Linked DNA regions of Caenorhabditis elegans. The protein of the gene in region 2 purifies or fractionates together with the protein of the main gene of each other region. This does not show direct contact. Each region holds a gene or a part of one and is shown on either strand. Other genes may lie near its edges. The genes, in order: elo-6, C24D10.6, nfs-1 and ndub-7.

Region 1 (4,332 bases), 230 kb from region 2:
AATGTCGCCTATCCAGACGAGACCAACTACTCGCAGAGGAGCCGATGGCAGCAAAACCAGATCGTCTCCATATTCTCGTTCCTGTAAATAATTTTTTTCCTAGCTTTCAATAGATTATAGCTTCATTCTGTAACTTGGCATGTTCTATATCATCGTGTAAAATGTTTTATTGTCTTGAGTGTTTCCTTTCTGCTCCATTATTGTATCCTTAGTTTTTTTTATTCAAATTACAGTCATTCATAAATAAATCGACTGGTGTTATTAAATAGCATGTTTCCCATGACTCCATTTTCAAGATACTCCAGTGCATTTCAGAATTTTTCAACAATTGACCAATCTAAAAAGGATTCTCTCTTTTCTTCTTCTGCTGGATACCGCTCCGAGTATCTTTCGGTAAATCTCGAAATTCTCTTTGTATTCACCATTCATGCTGACCTCGATAACTTTTCTCAAGGTTCTTTGCTAAAATTTATGTGGTTTGCAAGGGAACGTGGCGATTGTTGATTGTTGGTTTCAAGTTTTGAAAAAAAACACAGTTTATTCTACTTTTCAATGTCAGACGTCACAAAATTTATCAGAAAAAGCTTTTTTATTGCAGTGTCTGAAACAATTTTATGTAGTATTCAGGTTGATTGTAGTCGTTTTAAAGGCGCGTGCTACTTTAAATTGGTCTCGCCACGAAAACCATATATTTGTATGTTCTGTTAAAAAATCACATTCTAGCGAACAAATATCTCAATTTTCATTTAAGAAAGAGCAGTCGCGCCTGTCGCCAACAAAATGGATCGTGGCGAGACCTATCGAGAGAAAAATGTTCTTTTGAAGTGGAGTCTTCAGATTTGGCGAATTAATTCACGAATTCACGACTGGATATTACCCAGACACAAAATGTTGTAATTTTTTCGCCAAGAATACCAGGTCATGGGATTAAAAGGATTAAAGATTAAAGAATACAATTTTTGATTAAAAAGATTAAAAATACAATTTTTTATTTCAGAAAATACTGGAAATTCAAACTCTTCTTAATAAAAAACTTAATTTTTATCGATTTTTCATAGTATTTTGGGAAAAATTAATTGTACTTGTATTCATTAAAAAATCTCTCAATGATAATAATAAGAACACATTAATTTTAGCAAATCACATCGATTTTTAAAAAAATCTGCAGCAACGTAGGTTTGGGATTACAGTACTCTTTAAAGGCGCACAGCCTTTTGCATTAAACTCAAATTTTTCGTGTCAAGACCTGGTATAGTATTTTTGGCGCACAAATCACAAAATTCCGTTACTGGGTATTATACACAAATCATGAAAAAATATATTAAAAACCATTTATATACGAAATTTAATTACTGTTTCAGGCACTTTTCAATTACTTTTTAATAAAAAACATCTTATCAATAGAGTTACAATTCTTTGACCGTACATTGAGTGTGTTCTGAATCGTTTCACTTCAAAAAACCTATAAACAAATGTCTTCCACTCTCTCCCTCTCTCTCTTTCCCCCGTCTACCGCCTCTTTCATCGCCCCATAATTTCCGAATTTTCTTCGAAAAATCACTTGCCTCCGCCTTTTTACCTTTTTTTCCAACAAAAAAAATCAGACCACCATTTGGTATCTCACTACAAGAGAGAGAGAGAGGGAGAGACGCAGAAAACGAGATGGTTAAGTATAAAAAGGAGTTGGTGATGACCGTGTTTTGTGACTTTCGGGCTCTTGGAGCCAAAATGTTTGCTTTGTTGTATTCTTATGTTAGTCTAGAGACTTGTACCTTGTACCCATCTACAGTAATCTTAAGCCCCACCTGTTAGATCTGGTTCTTATTTAGCAGTTTACTTTGAGCCACACTCTTCATATGGCAGTTCCTTTTTTTAAGTTTAAAATTGCAGGTAAAAATGCCACAGGGAGAAGTCTCATTCTTTGAGGTGCTGACAACTGCTCCATTCAGTCATGAGCTCTCAAAAAAGCATATTGCACAGACTCAGTATGCTGCTTTCTGGATCTCAATGGCATATGTTGTCGTTATTTTTGGGCTCAAGGCTGTCATGACAAACCGAAAACCATTTGATGTAAGTTTGTAGATTCTCTGAAACAGTAAATTTTCGGTAAAATTTAAATTTTATTATTGAACAGTTTAGTGTTGCAAATAATTAAGAACCCATTTTTTGATTAATTGAAAATACATTGCTGGTAGATTAGAACTCATTTTGTATCACACAATTAAATATTTCCTGAAACAGTAATTATTTTCTTACTTTTAATGCCACCAGATACAAAATACTATTTATTTGATGTTACTTTCTAAATAGATTGTCTGAAACAGTACATCTTTGGTGATTTCTTAACTATTCGGAGGTAATTAGAACTGGAAAGTGGGGCCAGAAATGCGATGTGAGTCTATAGATTCTTTGAAACGGTAAACATTTTATGAAAATTCAATTTTTTTTAATCAAAAGTTTAGCTTTTATCCATTTTAAAACAAAAACTTTTATAAATACTGCTTTGATAACTTTTAAAAGAAAATTGTGATCGTTTCTCAATTAACAGTGGAAATATACTACAAAATAAAAATTGCGGTTGAAACGGGAATTATATTTTCCACCAATCCACCCACTTAAAACCCCACTAATTTATTTCCAGCTCACGGGACCACTGAATCTCTGGAATGCGGGTCTTGCTATTTTCTCAACTCTCGGATCACTTGCCACTACATTTGGACTTCTCCACGAGTTCTTCAGCCGTGGATTTTTCGAATCTTACATTCACATCGGAGACTTTTATAATGGACTTTCTGGAATGTTCACATGGCTTTTCGTTCTCTCAAAAGTTGCTGAATTCGGAGATACACTTTTTATTATTCTTCGTAAAAAGCCATTGATGTTCCTTCATTGGTATCATCATGTGCTTACAATGAATTATGCTTTTATGTCATTTGAAGCTAATTTGGGATTTAATACTTGGATTACATGGATGAATTTCTCAGTTCACTCAATTATGTATGGATATTATATGCTTCGTTCTTTTGGTGTCAAGGTTCCAGCATGGATTGCCAAGAATATTACAACAATGCAAATTCTTCAATTCGTTATTACTCATTTCATTCTTTTCCACGTTGGATATTTGGCAGTTACTGGACAATCTGTTGACTCAACTCCAGGATATTATTGGTGGGTTTTTGTCCAATATGTAGTGTCTTTTTTTAGTACATAGTGTAACACGAAACTATACAATGCAAGTTAATATTCCGCCTAGATTTGATTTTTTTTGGTGATTTGCTTTAGTTTTTCAAACATGTATTTTTTTAACTGTGATAGTTAGCAAAATATTACCATTTCACTAAATGTTGTCGTTGTCGGCTGCTGTAATTTATTTCAGAACATGAGTTTATACAGCTTTGACACTAAAATAATTAATCGACAACATTTTGTAAATTGAAAACATTTTGCTAAATATCACAGTTTATGAGTTTTTTTTGTTGTTACCAAGCAACTCAAGGAAATTTGATAGTGGACACTACATATGTATTAGAACAACTAAAATTTGTAGAAAATTTACAATACTTTTGAAACAGCATAAAATTAGTAAAATGCAATATTTCCAGGTTCTGCCTTCTCATGGAAATCTCTTATGTCGTTCTGTTCGGAAACTTCTACTATCAATCATACATCAAGGGAGGTGGCAAGAAGTTTAATGCAGAGAAGAAGACTGAAAAGAAAATTGAATAAAATATTAGAATAGAGATAATTTATCTTTTTTTTCCGGGTAGTTTACACTTTCTATTAAATGTTCTGATTTGTATAATAAAGGTTTAGTAGAATACAATTATTTTAATTGTTATCTTAAAAACAAAGTATGGTAACTACCTTATGTCAGGCAGGTAGATTTTTTCGTTCCTATGCCTATGTTGAAACCTATAACTTTTTCAATATGAAAAAAAGTTTTTTATTAAAAAATTTATGTTTTTCCGATTGGTGATTTTTCGTCGTTGAAGAGATCGATCAAGCAGTTGTGACTTAAGACAATTTTGTCGTAAATATGCCACATCGCGCTGAAGTACAGTATGGTACCAACAACGAAGACGGAAAAATAACGATAAGAGGCGTTTGGAATCACGGGAACGTCTGCTGGCTAGCATGCTTGGTACATTTCATCAGCAGAATCCCCAATGTCCGTACAATTCTAAGTACAATTGTTAGCAGTATAACACAAGATAGCAATTTGTCAACTTTGGATGCTCTAAAGATCAGCCTACTGAACGAATTGGTGGATGCACTCTCTAAACTGGCTTTGAAACAGTAAATTTTTAGCAATAAATAAATTAAATACAATTT
Region 2 (3,178 bases):
CATCGATTTGAAATCGATTGGCATCAACAATTTTTCATGAAATATGTCAGAACATGATGAAACTCGAAATTTTAGGGTGTTCTCTAGAAGTTGCACGCACTGACTGTTTCAACTTTGTGATATATTGCAACTAAAAATAGAATTTTGCTACAGAAGTGGACGTATTTAGGTAGAATCTCTAAAGTAAAATCCATATATTTTCTACTCTATCTACAGGAACGTCATATTACTTGGCAAATACATATATTACGCAATGAACTACGTTTCCTATTACATCGCCGTTCCTGGTTGTCTCAAATATTACTGTGAGAATACATCAGAACAATTGCATTCCATTATTATGGGAAACTAATAGTCGACTTCCAGAGGATTGTCCATTCGTCATAATAATCAATTCACAATGAATCTGAAAACCTATGAACTTGCAATTTTAATAATGCTGCATACAACTCATCAAGAACACAAATAATTTAATAAAACTTCCGATTTACATACAACTAATAACATTTTAAAAGACAATTTGATAATCCGCTGAAAAATCGTAGAGTTCAAGTATCATATGGGCGAGAAGGAAGCTGGCGGCGAAGGAGACGGTCGTTTGGATGAATTCAATGATTTTGAAACCCGCATTCACTGAAAATCATTGTTTTTTTATTTATTGCTTGATCCATATGAACTTACTAATTTTTTCAAATTGATTATTATTCCCCATTGCTTGAAAAACAGCAGCAAGTTCGTTTCTTGTTTGATTATTCAAACCGACAGCCGAGAATCGAGAAACAAGAGTGACGTAGAAGATTGCCCAAAGTATTCCGATATTTATTGGTCCTGTGAGAAGCATAATTGCACGAGAAAGAAGTCCAAGAATGATTGCCACTAGTGGAACATTTATTCCTTTAACTGGAGGTGGAGGGGGTCCTCGATTAGTGTTCAGATTGCCCATTCCATCAGAAAATTGAGCAAATTGAGCAATATCTGCGGGGAATCCAGCTGGAAATTCGCTGGGAAATCCGGGGAACTCAGAATTTTGTGGAACAGTGACGCTATCAGATGAGCTTGGAGCTGAAAAATATTATAAATTTTTCCGGCAACTTTCTGGTTAAATTTTTAAAAAAAAGCACTCACTCGGCAAAATATTGTAGCCCTCGCCGCCCTCAATTGCAGGAGCATGTCGTTTGCCATTTTCGTCGCCTCCGTTATTCAGAATTCGATTAATTCTGCCTTCAGAATTTCCCAATATTTTTGCAAGTCGACGTTGACGACGTTCTTCTGCTGTTAGTGGAGGGGGAGCGACTGGTGCTGTCTCTTCTTGATCTGACATTCTGGAATAATATAAATATTAATTTTAAGTTATTTTATACAGGAAAAGCGAAGAAAAATAGTTTTTCGGTGAAAAAGCAGAGATTTTGCAAAAGATAAAATAAAAAATCAACCAAAATTTAGCTGCGTAAGCGCGCTCCATTGACAAGATTCCTTGTGGACTCCTCTCGGGTAACACACATGAACATTATTTTTATTTTATTTCTTTATTTTCTTCGGATTTTCTGATTTAAAAAGTTTGTTAATTATTTTATTATTTAATTTATTGTTTACAGGATGATGTTCTCATCGCCTCTCCTAAAAGAAAAAGCGCTGGCACGTGGTAAATCGATATATCCGAAAGTTGCAGTGTTTTCCGAAATTTTACCGCTCGCCTCGAAGAATCGTGTTCAGGCTGGACAAAAACCAAGAGCAGCGAGTGAGTTTATATTAACTTGAAAATGCATACAAAGATTTGTAATTTTTTGGCACAGTGAAAGAACATTTTTGCAAAATATTTGAAAAATACAACGTTTTTCCAGGTTCGTCGTGCACTCAAGAGCTACAAGCACTGTTTGGATGCCTGAAAAAGTGGGAATTCGATGATGTTCCATGCTCAAAACAACACACTCTTTACATGGATTGCGTTCACAAAGGAGCTGAAGAAGCTGCCGCGTATCGGGATGCCACGAGAAAAGTTTGTGATTTTAATATTAAAATTTATTTTAAGATCGAAACAAAGTAAATAACTAATCGAAGATGTTAATCTGTTGCTTTAAAGTACTGAAAGAAAAGTTGTTAACTTTAAATAAATCAAGCTTTGCAGGGAACACTTGGAGAATCTGGAGCCGGCGGAAAACAATCAATGACCAGTGCTCAATTCAATAAAATTCAAAAACTCTTTCCACAACCAGACCTTGGAAAGCAGCCATATCGACAGATGAAACGACTTCCAACACAAGACTACGCCGACGACACGTTCCACAGAAAACATTGGTCAGGAAAAAGAAGCTAGAATTTTTAATTTTTATTTTAAAATCTCTTTTTTTGTTTTCTAGTATGTAGTTTTCTTGTTTCTGTTAAAACTCCAAAATAAGACATAAATAGTGCCTATCCTTATGTCCCTTTCAATTTGTCTCACTTGTTGAGCCCCTAGTCATCCTCTTTTTTTCGCTTTCCAAAACATTCTCAGATTTCTTCGGATCCCTTCAGATGACCCTTCGCCTCGTTATTTTTCTATTCTTTCCGTTATCCGCCAACGCCCATCTTTGCTATTCGTGTTACGGCGAAACGACCAATTCATCGTGCTTTCAAAATGCTCGAAGCTCTAAATGGGTTGATTGTGAGAAGGGAGAGTGTCAGGTTTGTTGGCAGGAAAATGCATTAATAGGAAGTGTATTTGCTTTTTATCTGGAGGTGGACGAAAATAAGAGATGTTTACGAGATAACTTGATGAGTCTTCGAAAAACAAAAAGAGAACCTGAATATTCCAGAAAATTTTTTTTTGGTTATTTATTTATTTAGGAATAAATTTAGATGATGAAATCATAATACACTGGAGAAAACTAATATCGCAAGTTTCAGAATATTTTCAAGCAAATCACGAAAACTTCAATGAGAAGCATATTTTGCAAGATGATCTTTTGAGAAATTTATTCAAAATATTGTATTTTCGTAAGATTCTGACATGCCTTCTTAAAGGCGCACGGATATATTTCGATGGGTCTCGGCGCGCAGAAAGTTTATGGTAGTGTTAAAAATTGAAAATTGAAACATCGAAAATTGATTTTTGAAGATGTTTCACAGAGAAATGAAAAAGAGACGACAAAATTCGCTAAAAACCATAAGATTTAATTTTTAAAAACGGGAGAAAAACCAA
Region 3 (5,610 bases), on a different chromosome or scaffold from region 2:
CTGGTTCAAAGCTTCCAAAAATCTGAAAAATCTGTTATTTTTTGAATAATTCAGCCCAATAAATTTTCGGTTTCCCTTTAAAAAACTAAGAAAAAATGTTTATTTGAAAAAAATGTAGAAAGGAAAACAAAAAACTATTACTTCTAGAAGATAACAAAAAATTCTGAAAATTTACAAAAATGAGACTCTTGAAGCGAGTTTGTCCCACACCTTAACACCACGCTTGGTGAGCTTGGACTTAACGTGCTCAATCATACGTTCGTTCAGCATAGCCTTTTTAATTGATTCGGCAGCTCGAATTTTGTTCTCGAGGTCTTCATTGCTCAACGTTTTCCCGTCAGCACGTGCTCTGAAAATTTAGAGATTAGTTTAAATATTTAAGAAAAGAATATTTAATAAATTGTTATGGCCTGAGATTAAACTTTCCACGGTCACGTAGAGTTTGACATTTTGTAAGGTAAAAAATACGTACTCTGTTGAAAAGAGGATTGCACAAAGATGGCCCTCAATGGTTTGGTGGTGAGCCAAAAATGGCTGTCTTTTGAATACCATTGAGTATTAACATTATTACATCGTAAAATTTTGGTGAAGCATGTTTCATCGATAGCTTCGGGCTCTGTGATAAAAATGGTTATTTTTTGAACGCAATGCTTTTCAACAACTAATTTACTTGAAAAATATATAAATATCAAACAAAAAAATATATTTTTTGGCAACTAGATAAATAATGAGACACAAAACAAACAAAAAAAGCTAAACGAGAAAATTCAAATTTTTAAAATTTAGAAATATTTAATGTTGGGTCCATTGAATACTCTTCAAATCGATACCCTCTTGAACCATTTCCCAGAGAGGACTCAAATCACGGAGCCGATTTGTTTCACGAATGCATAGATCAATTGTATGCTTCACCTGAAATTATTTGATGAATTTTTTGAAACTTAAACGGAATGTGTTCTTACCTCCTCGTCAGTTGTAAATCTTCCCAATCCGAATCGAATCGAAGAATGAGCCAAGTCTTCTTCGGATCCGATTGCACGAAGTACGTATGAAGGTTCCAATGAAGCAGATGTACAAGCACTTCCAGAAGAAAGAGCAATCGATTTTAGAGCCATCAGAAGGGACTCACCTAGAAAAAAAAAAGTTGGTTTTGGTAGTTTTGGAAACGCTTGACAATCTTCTAAAATGAGAACTACAAGACCAATCACAGTCTTCGGACTCCGCCTACTCTGGCTGATTGGTCTAAAAGTGGGCGGAGTGGATCGTTGATTGGTTCTCATTTTAGAGAAAATTCAAGCACCGAGGACTATCCGAAATTGAAAAATGGCGTCTTTAAAATTTGAATTTGAATTTTTCTCTATTTTCTTTTGCGGTATTTTTTAATTTCAAACATTTTTACCCGGGAATTTCCGAGTTTAATTAGTTTAAATTCCCGTACCTTCAACATATGCAAATGAGAGATTGACACAACCGGGATAAGCATGCCTAGCATCTCCATTTCTGATAATATGTGGCAATTTATCACTGATTCCGTTGATAAGCATTTGAGATAATCGTTCAACATGAGCTTTATCCATTGCTGAAATAATTTGATTTTCAAAATTTTCTACTGGGTTTCTTCATTTTTTTCCAAAATTTCAATCCTATCATTGAATTTTCGACTAATAGAAATTTTGATGGCATTCTTAATACGAAAGTGTTAAGCTTTTTTTTTAAATAAAATGCGGTTTTTAGAGATATTTTAATAGAAAATTTTCAACTTTTTCTAGATATTTTTTAGTAAAATGTGTCAAACCATTTGTTTCTTACAATTGTTTTTTAATTGAACGGTCCGTTTTTATAAAAAATTCGAATTTCTCAGAAAAAATGAAGTTTTTAGGGACAGTTTTATTAAAGTTAAAGTTTAACAAAAACCGTAATATAAAATAGTTTTTTTTAATTAAAAAAATTTAGATTTTAAAGATATCTTTCAAACATTTCTAATTTTTTATGTCTGAAATACCAATAATTGTGTTAAAAATTCAAAAAAAAAACCATACCCATCTCCTTATCAGCAATTTTAGCAGCTTCCCCAAGTCCAATGCACAATGGAGCAGCTACAGTACCAGATCGTAATCCTCTTTCCTGTCCTCCACCAGACATTTGAGCTTCAATACGAACACGTGGACGACGACGAACGTAAAGGGCTCCGGCACCTGGAAATCGGAGCTTTTGAAGAATTTGAAATCTGAAGAATGAAAATTACCTTTTGGTCCGTAGATTTTATGCGCAGAAATTGACATTAAATCAATTTTCATTTCATTTACATCAATTGGAACTTTTCCAGTAGCTTGTGCGGCATCTGTGTGAAAGTATACACCTTTTGAACGGCATAGTTCACCTGAAATTTTTTATTTTTTTCGTTAAATTTCTTTTAAATACTTAAAATACTGAATTCTGCGATGAGAGAGTCAAAACTGAAAAACTTAGATATTTTAGTTAAATTTAGCTTCTTTTTTGGGGTATTTCTCTGATTTGAAAAAAAAAACAAACCAATTTGCTTGATCGGCTGCATAACTCCAATTTCATTATTGACAAACATAATAGACACAAGACATGTTTCCGCGGTAATCGATTGAGTAAGTTGCTGAAATATCAGATATTTCCTATATTTTCTAACTGAAAAAAGTACCTCCATATCAACCATTCCTCCCTTATCAACTGGTAAATATGTCACTTTAAATCCTTCATTTTCCAAATATCGACACGAGTCGAGAACGCATTTGTGCTCCTGGAAAATAAACGTTTTTCTTTTAATTTCATTATTATGGAGACGCAAAAAATGCGCTTTTGGAAATCTATGTGAAAACGCGCTCCGCCTCCAAACCATGGGTCTCGTTAGGTGTTTGGTGGCGAAATCCGTTTTAAGCGAATTTTCTGCGGACTAATAATAGCAATCTTACAGTTTGCAGCGTGATAATATGATTCTTTCCAGATTGTTTTCGAAACTTTGCAACTCCTTTAATCGCCAAATTATTTGATTCAGTGGCTCCAGAAGTGAAGATGATGTCACGAGGATCTGCCTGAAAATACAAGGAAATTGAATAAAACTCTCAGAAAAAAAAACCTTTATAAGATTTGCAACATGTTCTCTCGCTTGTTCAACGCCTTCTTCAGCTTTCCATCCGTATGAATGAGTTCTTGAATGAGGATTTCCGAAATCATTGATCATATAGGGAAGCATTGCGTCGACTACTCGAGGATCCTGTAAAATATTAAAATTTGGAATTTCAAAAAAAATCCCAGCACATTTTTTTCCTAGTTTCTTAAGCTACGATTTCACTTAAATTGGAAATAAAATAATTTAGTCACATTTAGAGAACCGAAAACTGAGAAATTGGTTTTTTAAATACCAAAAATGGTCTCAAACTACTGAATTTCGCAATGAAATGTTCTGAAAATTTATGAAAAATAAAAAAAAAAATATTATATGGGTTCAAAGTATTGTAAAATGTCATATTTTCAGTGTCGCAGCGCTGTCGTAAATCAGTTTTCATATAATTATCATAATTTATTGCTGGTTTTGTTCGCTTAGGCCCTTTTTAGGCCATAAGCCGCAATTTTAGAATGCCTACTAGCTTAAACTGTGCCTAGGTTAGAAAAAAACTCATTCGAAATCTAAATTGTATCTGAAAAGTTTCGTTAATTTTTTCCAGATACAAGTTTTTTATATTATTTTTAATCATGCTTTATTATTTCCATTTAATTACCATTGGCGCGGTAGCCTGAACATCCAAATAAATCGGCTGCGGAGATCCTGGCTCAATTTTCGATGCCATTGTCCGGCGAGCAATCGATCGAAGGAGCACTCGTCCGTTGAGCATTTTAAATCTAAAACTCTAAAAGTGAACATAGTTCACAACTCAACATAGGAACAATAGTAGGTTTTTCAAACCAAAGACAATATTGATTACAAGTAACAGTTTTTTTTCTCACGAACTGTGATTCGATTTATAAAAATGATGATTGTGGTTGTTTGAGGAAGAGGAAAGGGGAGAAGAAGGAGAACAATATGAAATGGGACAAAAAAGATTTAAAATTGAAACGGAATTTCAGAGGCATGAATTACACAAAAAAATCCTAAAAATAGAATTTGCAAAGAACGTTTCTCACGAAAAGATTAGGCACTTTTGTGGTACGTAGAGGGAAATTTTCGGAGAAGCGGGGAAGATTTAATATCTTAGCCAATTTTTAGAGCAAAGGAATAATGATGGAGAGGAGTGGTGTGGAAATTAATAAAAAAGGAAATAGTCAACAGGAAAATTAAAAAAAAAATAGAAAGAAATTTTAAGCGCCGTCAATTTTGGCATCGGAGGATTGAGAAGAAGCGGAATTCGATGCACCCTGTCCGTCAGCTTGTTCAGTTCCATTGGCACGAGCATGTGCTTCAACAACTGGGCGGAAGTATTCGTGACCCATGGCCTCTTGAGCAGTTAGGCGTTCCTGAATATGGTGAAATTTATTAAAAGTTCTGGAAATAAATTAATTTAACAAATAAAAGTATTTATAGTTAGTTTCGAGTATCAAATGTCTTTTTTTTCAATAAAACAAGTGAAAATTGTTTTTATTTCTCTGTGTTCTTGTTAAAACTGGTTTTCAGTAACTAATTTGGTGTAATTTCTCTTTTTTCCGATTCTTACCGCGTGATCGTAGCGAAGAAGTTTATCAAGGAAATCAAGAGCCTCTGGGGTGACAAGATGTTGATTTTCAGCGTGGATAAATCTACAACAAATGAATTTTAAGAAAAACATGAAACTTCGCTTCGATCAAAATATACCTTTCCCAGCGTTTTCTTGAGTGTCGCCCGAGAATATCGTTGAAGCGTGGATCGAGATCAATGTGATATCTCGCAATGTACTCGTAAAGCTCATCAGTTCCCAATACCTTTGCAATGCGGACTAGCTGCAAAAAACTTTTTATAAGAAAATCAGATTTCGTGAATTTATAAAATATTAAAAATCATAAAAATTATTGATGAATATTTAATAAATACCTGACAATATTATTTATTCATTTAAATTTCAGCTCAGGGGTGCGAATCAATCGCCGGCAAGAAATTCTACGGAATAAGCCAAACTTATCAGTAAAATTTTAGCTATGGAATTCAAAAAAATAATTTCTTTATCTGAAAATAGTTTTTTGCAGCTGGAACAATTGAAAAATGCTCAAAATTGGAAAATTTTCGGTTTTTTTCGGAAATTTTAAACTTTCCGGTAATTTTTTAAGCGTTTTTCCCCATTGTTCTCACTGAAATAAAAGCCATAATCAGATAAATCAAATGTTTTCTATATTCCAATATTGGATTTTAATGAAATTTGTGGATTTGCGGTTCTTTGCTACTTCAGCTTAAAGTGCTTACCTGATCGTAGTTATCATGGCCGTGGAAGAATGGTTCCTTCCTGAAGATCATACTAGCCAACATGCATCCCAAACTCCACATATCCAACGAATAATCGTAACATTGATAATCGACAAGAAGCTCGGGTCCCTTGAAATATCTAGAAGCAACACGAACATTATAGTCCTGTCTTGGATGATAGAATTCGGCTAATCCCCAATCTATTAATCGAA
Region 4 (3,511 bases), on a different chromosome or scaffold from region 2:
TGCAGCAGCATCCATGCAATTAAGAATAATCTTGAATACAATTGGAGAATGAAGTTCTCCAGCTTGCGGATTTCTAACAAGAAGTTCTCGAGTATAAAGTGATCCACATAATTGAAAATGATCCGAGATATGAGCAAGTCGATTAGCCAATCGCGATTGAACTGCTCGTAGAGTTTGTGAAGAACATTTGATGATCATTCTCGACATAAGACAAAATCCTAGTTCTTGTTCTTTACGTGTTCGATTGGATCCAACGAGACGGAGACATTTTTCGAAAGTCTGAAACTTATTTGATGAATGGATCCATGACAGAATATGTAGGTTTTTAGATAATTCAAAAAAATTTGACAATTTCTAACCTGAATTTCGTCTTCTGGTTTTCCAACCATTGTTTCTTGGACGACTTTTCGGATTTCGGTCATCTCTGAAAGGTGTTTTTAAATTATAATATGGAAAACTAATCGGAATCATTATAGCATAGATATATTACAAATGATACGAACAACAAAAAAATTTTCAACATTAAAAAAAAGTGTACGACTCAATATTTATCCGAAATCGAGAGAAAAAGAAACGAAACAAAAGACACATAGTATTCACAAAAAACTATACTATTATCAAAAATCATTTAAAGAAATATCTCATCGACATCTATTCAAGCAGTGGCTTCTTTGCGAGCCTGTCTTTGAAGCAATCGTCGTTCACGTTCGAATTCTTTGATTCTCATGATATGATCATCATATTCACATTTATCCCAAGCTCCACGTTCTCCGTCGCACGCGTGTCCGGCAAATGGTGCATTTTGGGTCTGAATATAATAAATTATTTTTGCTGTTTTTGAGAAAATAATTTTAGATGTGTATTTTTATATAATTTTAAAAATATATCATTGTAACTAAAACAAAAATCTTACTTGGCATTTCATGAGTGAAATCAAGTGGTGAGCACAATAATCGCGTTGAGCTGGCTTCAACTTCCACTGCTCCATCTCTTCCCAAGTAGCCTTCATCTCGCGGACCTTGAATATTAAACTTTATTATATTGAATATTTATGAATTAAATGAACAGTTATTTAATGAACTTTTAAAAAAGTTGTTTACCTTTCTCGGTCGCTCGAATCCATACTGAGGATCGAAAGTTGGTGGTCTGTCGACACGTGGCGCGGTTTCTGGTGTACTGGCTCCTTCCAATGAGACGGACAGTTTAGTTCCCATCTTGGCTGAAAAAAAAGGAATTGGTACAAAATAAAGAAAGCATCAAAACTCTTCTGATATTTGAATCAACTCAAAATAAATAATTAGCATGCTTAGGGCAGCGAATGCTTTGCTGATAAGAAGTGAACAATTTATATTTTAATAATTTAACATATTTTTCCGGAAAATATTCTTCTAAAACGTTAAAAACAAAGTAAAGCTGAAAATTGGCACAAAAATTGCCCGAAATAAAATAAGATAAACAACAAGCACTTGTGTAATATCGGAGTGTCGTTGTAATCAAAGTGAGTGCGTGCAAAAAGCAAGTTTACAGCGGGTTCATTGACCGAATTTTCAATGTCAAAAACATTTTCTTATCTAAACTTTTGTTTGTTTCTGTTACTTTTCATTTTCTCACAGATGTTTCAATCATTTAAACGCTTATTACTTAGCATTTTTCGAGTTTTATAAATTTTATTAAAGTACAGTAACCATGTTTATAGATTCTTCTTTTGAAAATGGCATCCTTCCGTTCTACACTCGCCCTTGTCAATTCTGCTAAGCTTTCGCTGTCCACAAGAGTAGGTTTTTCTATTTTTTCTGATGAAAACTATTAGATAATCGCTTTTTTACTTTAAAAATTTTGACTTTTCAGACCATGGCTTCCCATCCATTGGCAGGACTTCTCGGAAAGTTGAACCACGTCGCCATTGCCACACCAGATCTCAAGAAATCATCGGAATTCTACAAGGGCCTCGGAGCAAAAGTTAGCGAGGCTGTGGTTAGTCTTTAATTTTTGTTTCTTCCTAATGTCAATAAAAATTTAGAGCAAAAATATGTAGAAAATATTTTTGTTAAATTCTTTGTAGCATAAATCAAAATAAAAATTGAATAGCCTAAAATTTTGAAATAGCATAACAAAAAACGAAAAATTTTGGAAAAACCCCTACAACTGAAAAATGAAATAAAATGCGAATGAAGCGAATTTTGTGTACTACAGTAAACTTACTTGAAAAATATTTATTTAATTACAAGTTTTTTCATAAAAATGATAAAAATCCGCAAATAAAAAATAAAATGTCTCATCTAGTTTATATTAAAATTTTTGAATTGAATAATTACAGCCACAACCAGAACATGGAGTCTACACTGTCTTCGTTGAGCTTCCAAACTCAAAAATCGAGCTTCTTCATCCATTCGGCGAGAAATCTCCAATTCAAGCTTTTTTGAATAAGAATAAGGACGGTGGAATGCATCATATTTGTATTGAAGTTCGTGATATTCATGAAGCTGTTTCTGCTGTTAAAACAAAAGGAATTCGTACTTTGGGTGAGAAACCAAAAATTGGAGCTCATGGAAAAGAAGTAATGTTCTTGCATCCAAAGGATTGTGGAGGTGTACTTATTGAACTCGAGCAGGAATAATTTGATTCTTTGTTCCCAAAATCTAGCAATCATATTATCTGTTTGACAAAGTTTTGATCTTCACTTTTTTGTGAGAAACTTCACAAATTTTAAATTTCGCAAAAGTTCTCTCAAAATTTTTTATTGGCAGCCTATAACTTTTGAAAAATCGATAATATGATATAAATTACAAAAAAAAAAACTATAAACCTTTCTTTTAGCACCCAGTATTTTGCATAGAGATTAATTTTTGATACGTTTTAATCTGTTCACATGTTTTATTGTTTCTTGTGCCATAATAATTGCCTACAACTTCAATAAATTGTTTCATTAAATTTTCAAAATATAAATTCGTTTACATGTTTTCAAAAATATAATTTGAATTTTAAAGCGAAAAACTACGAAAAAACATATCAGAAAAGAATGTAAAATTTATGGGTAATATGAAAAAAACCTATTTTCAGAAAAGTTACAGTGGATTAGGATTTGGAAAAAAAAGAAGAAAATCAAAACTGTATGAACTACACTCTTAGAAATTTCAGACTTAAGCGAAGAATGTCAATAATCAGAAATCAAAAACAAAATTACATCTATGACATAATCAGTATAAGATGGTCCCTGAGCCGTCAATCCTGAAATTCTAGTGGATATACTACGCACCTATTTGAAAGAGGGAAATTCTTTTTTAGAAAAATATTTTTCCAAATAAGACGAAAAGAATTTCAATCCAAAGATGTCCAAAGTGTTTGCGAAAAAGCTCGGTAAACATCGTTTCACAGTTTTATTCAGTTATTCAACATCGTTCAGTCTCTTTTCCTCTCCCTCGTTTCCAATTAGAAAACGACCTTTTTCGGTTCTTCAATCGATGCGCGCGAATTGTTCGTATACCTTCGATCACCACCACAAGTTGAAAAC

Evidence for each region.
Region 1: the proteins of C24D10.6 (region 2) and elo-6 fractionate together in Caenorhabditis elegans (co-fractionation; one large-scale study listed by BioGRID). This does not show direct contact.
Region 3: the proteins of C24D10.6 (region 2) and nfs-1 fractionate together in Caenorhabditis elegans (co-fractionation; one large-scale study listed by BioGRID). This does not show direct contact.
Region 4: the proteins of C24D10.6 (region 2) and ndub-7 fractionate together in Caenorhabditis elegans (co-fractionation; one large-scale study listed by BioGRID). This does not show direct contact.

What each region holds. Positions count from the first base shown.
Region 1 is NC_003282.8:5,386,118-5,390,449, reverse strand, and holds elo-6 (Long chain fatty acid elongase 6), read left to right. Parts: upstream 1-1,890; 5' UTR 1,891-1,896; coding exon 1,897-2,070; intron 2,071-2,175; exon of another isoform or gene 2,176-2,196; intron 2,197-2,257; exon of another isoform or gene 2,258-2,278; intron 2,279-2,352; exon of another isoform or gene 2,353-2,373; intron 2,374-2,520; exon of another isoform or gene 2,521-2,541; intron 2,542-2,641; coding exon 2,642-3,168; intron 3,169-3,504; exon of another isoform or gene 3,505-3,525; intron 3,526-3,602; coding exon 3,603-3,726; 3' UTR 3,727-3,821; downstream 3,822-4,332. Other genes in the region: htp-1 (HORMA domain-containing protein), read left to right, coding at 1-91. UniProt on the Caenorhabditis elegans protein: Catalyzes the first and rate-limiting reaction of the four reactions that constitute the long-chain fatty acids elongation cycle. Uses malonyl-CoA to add 2 carbons per cycle to the chain of long-chain fatty acids.
Region 2 is NC_003282.8:5,158,666-5,161,843, reverse strand, and holds C24D10.6 (CHCH domain-containing protein), read left to right. Parts: upstream 1-1,595; 5' UTR 1,596-1,596; coding exon 1,597-1,738; intron 1,739-1,841; coding exon 1,842-1,996; intron 1,997-2,125; coding exon 2,126-2,314; 3' UTR 2,315-2,417; downstream 2,418-3,178. Other genes in the region: C24D10.4 (ER to Golgi transport-related protein), read right to left, coding at 509-633, 682-1,062, 1,126-1,321.
Region 3 is NC_003279.8:10,734,957-10,740,566, reverse strand, and holds nfs-1 (cysteine desulfurase), read right to left. Parts: upstream 3,871-5,610; 5' UTR 3,819-3,870; coding exon 3,750-3,818; intron 3,245-3,749; coding exon 3,107-3,244; intron 3,063-3,106; coding exon 2,943-3,062; intron 2,771-2,942; coding exon 2,672-2,770; intron 2,627-2,671; coding exon 2,533-2,626; intron 2,381-2,532; coding exon 2,246-2,380; intron 2,196-2,245; coding exon 2,040-2,195; intron 1,580-2,039; coding exon 1,439-1,579; intron 1,130-1,438; coding exon 963-1,129; intron 913-962; coding exon 793-912; 3' UTR 653-792; downstream 1-652. Other genes in the region: B0205.5 (Transposase), read right to left, coding at 172-270; kin-3 (Casein kinase II subunit alpha), read right to left, coding at 4,327-4,482, 4,680-4,761, 4,817-4,941, 5,399-5,610.
Region 4 is NC_003279.8:7,580,410-7,583,920, forward strand, and holds ndub-7 (NADH dehydrogenase [ubiquinone] 1 beta subcomplex subunit 7), read right to left. Parts: upstream 1,220-3,511; 5' UTR 1,215-1,219; coding exon 1,101-1,214; intron 1,019-1,100; coding exon 914-1,018; intron 809-913; coding exon 656-808; 3' UTR 535-655; downstream 1-534. Other genes in the region: D2030.3 (Fanconi anemia group I protein), read right to left, coding at 1-279, 360-422; mce-1 (Methylmalonyl-CoA epimerase, mitochondrial), read left to right, coding at 1,712-1,774, 1,849-1,974, 2,318-2,617.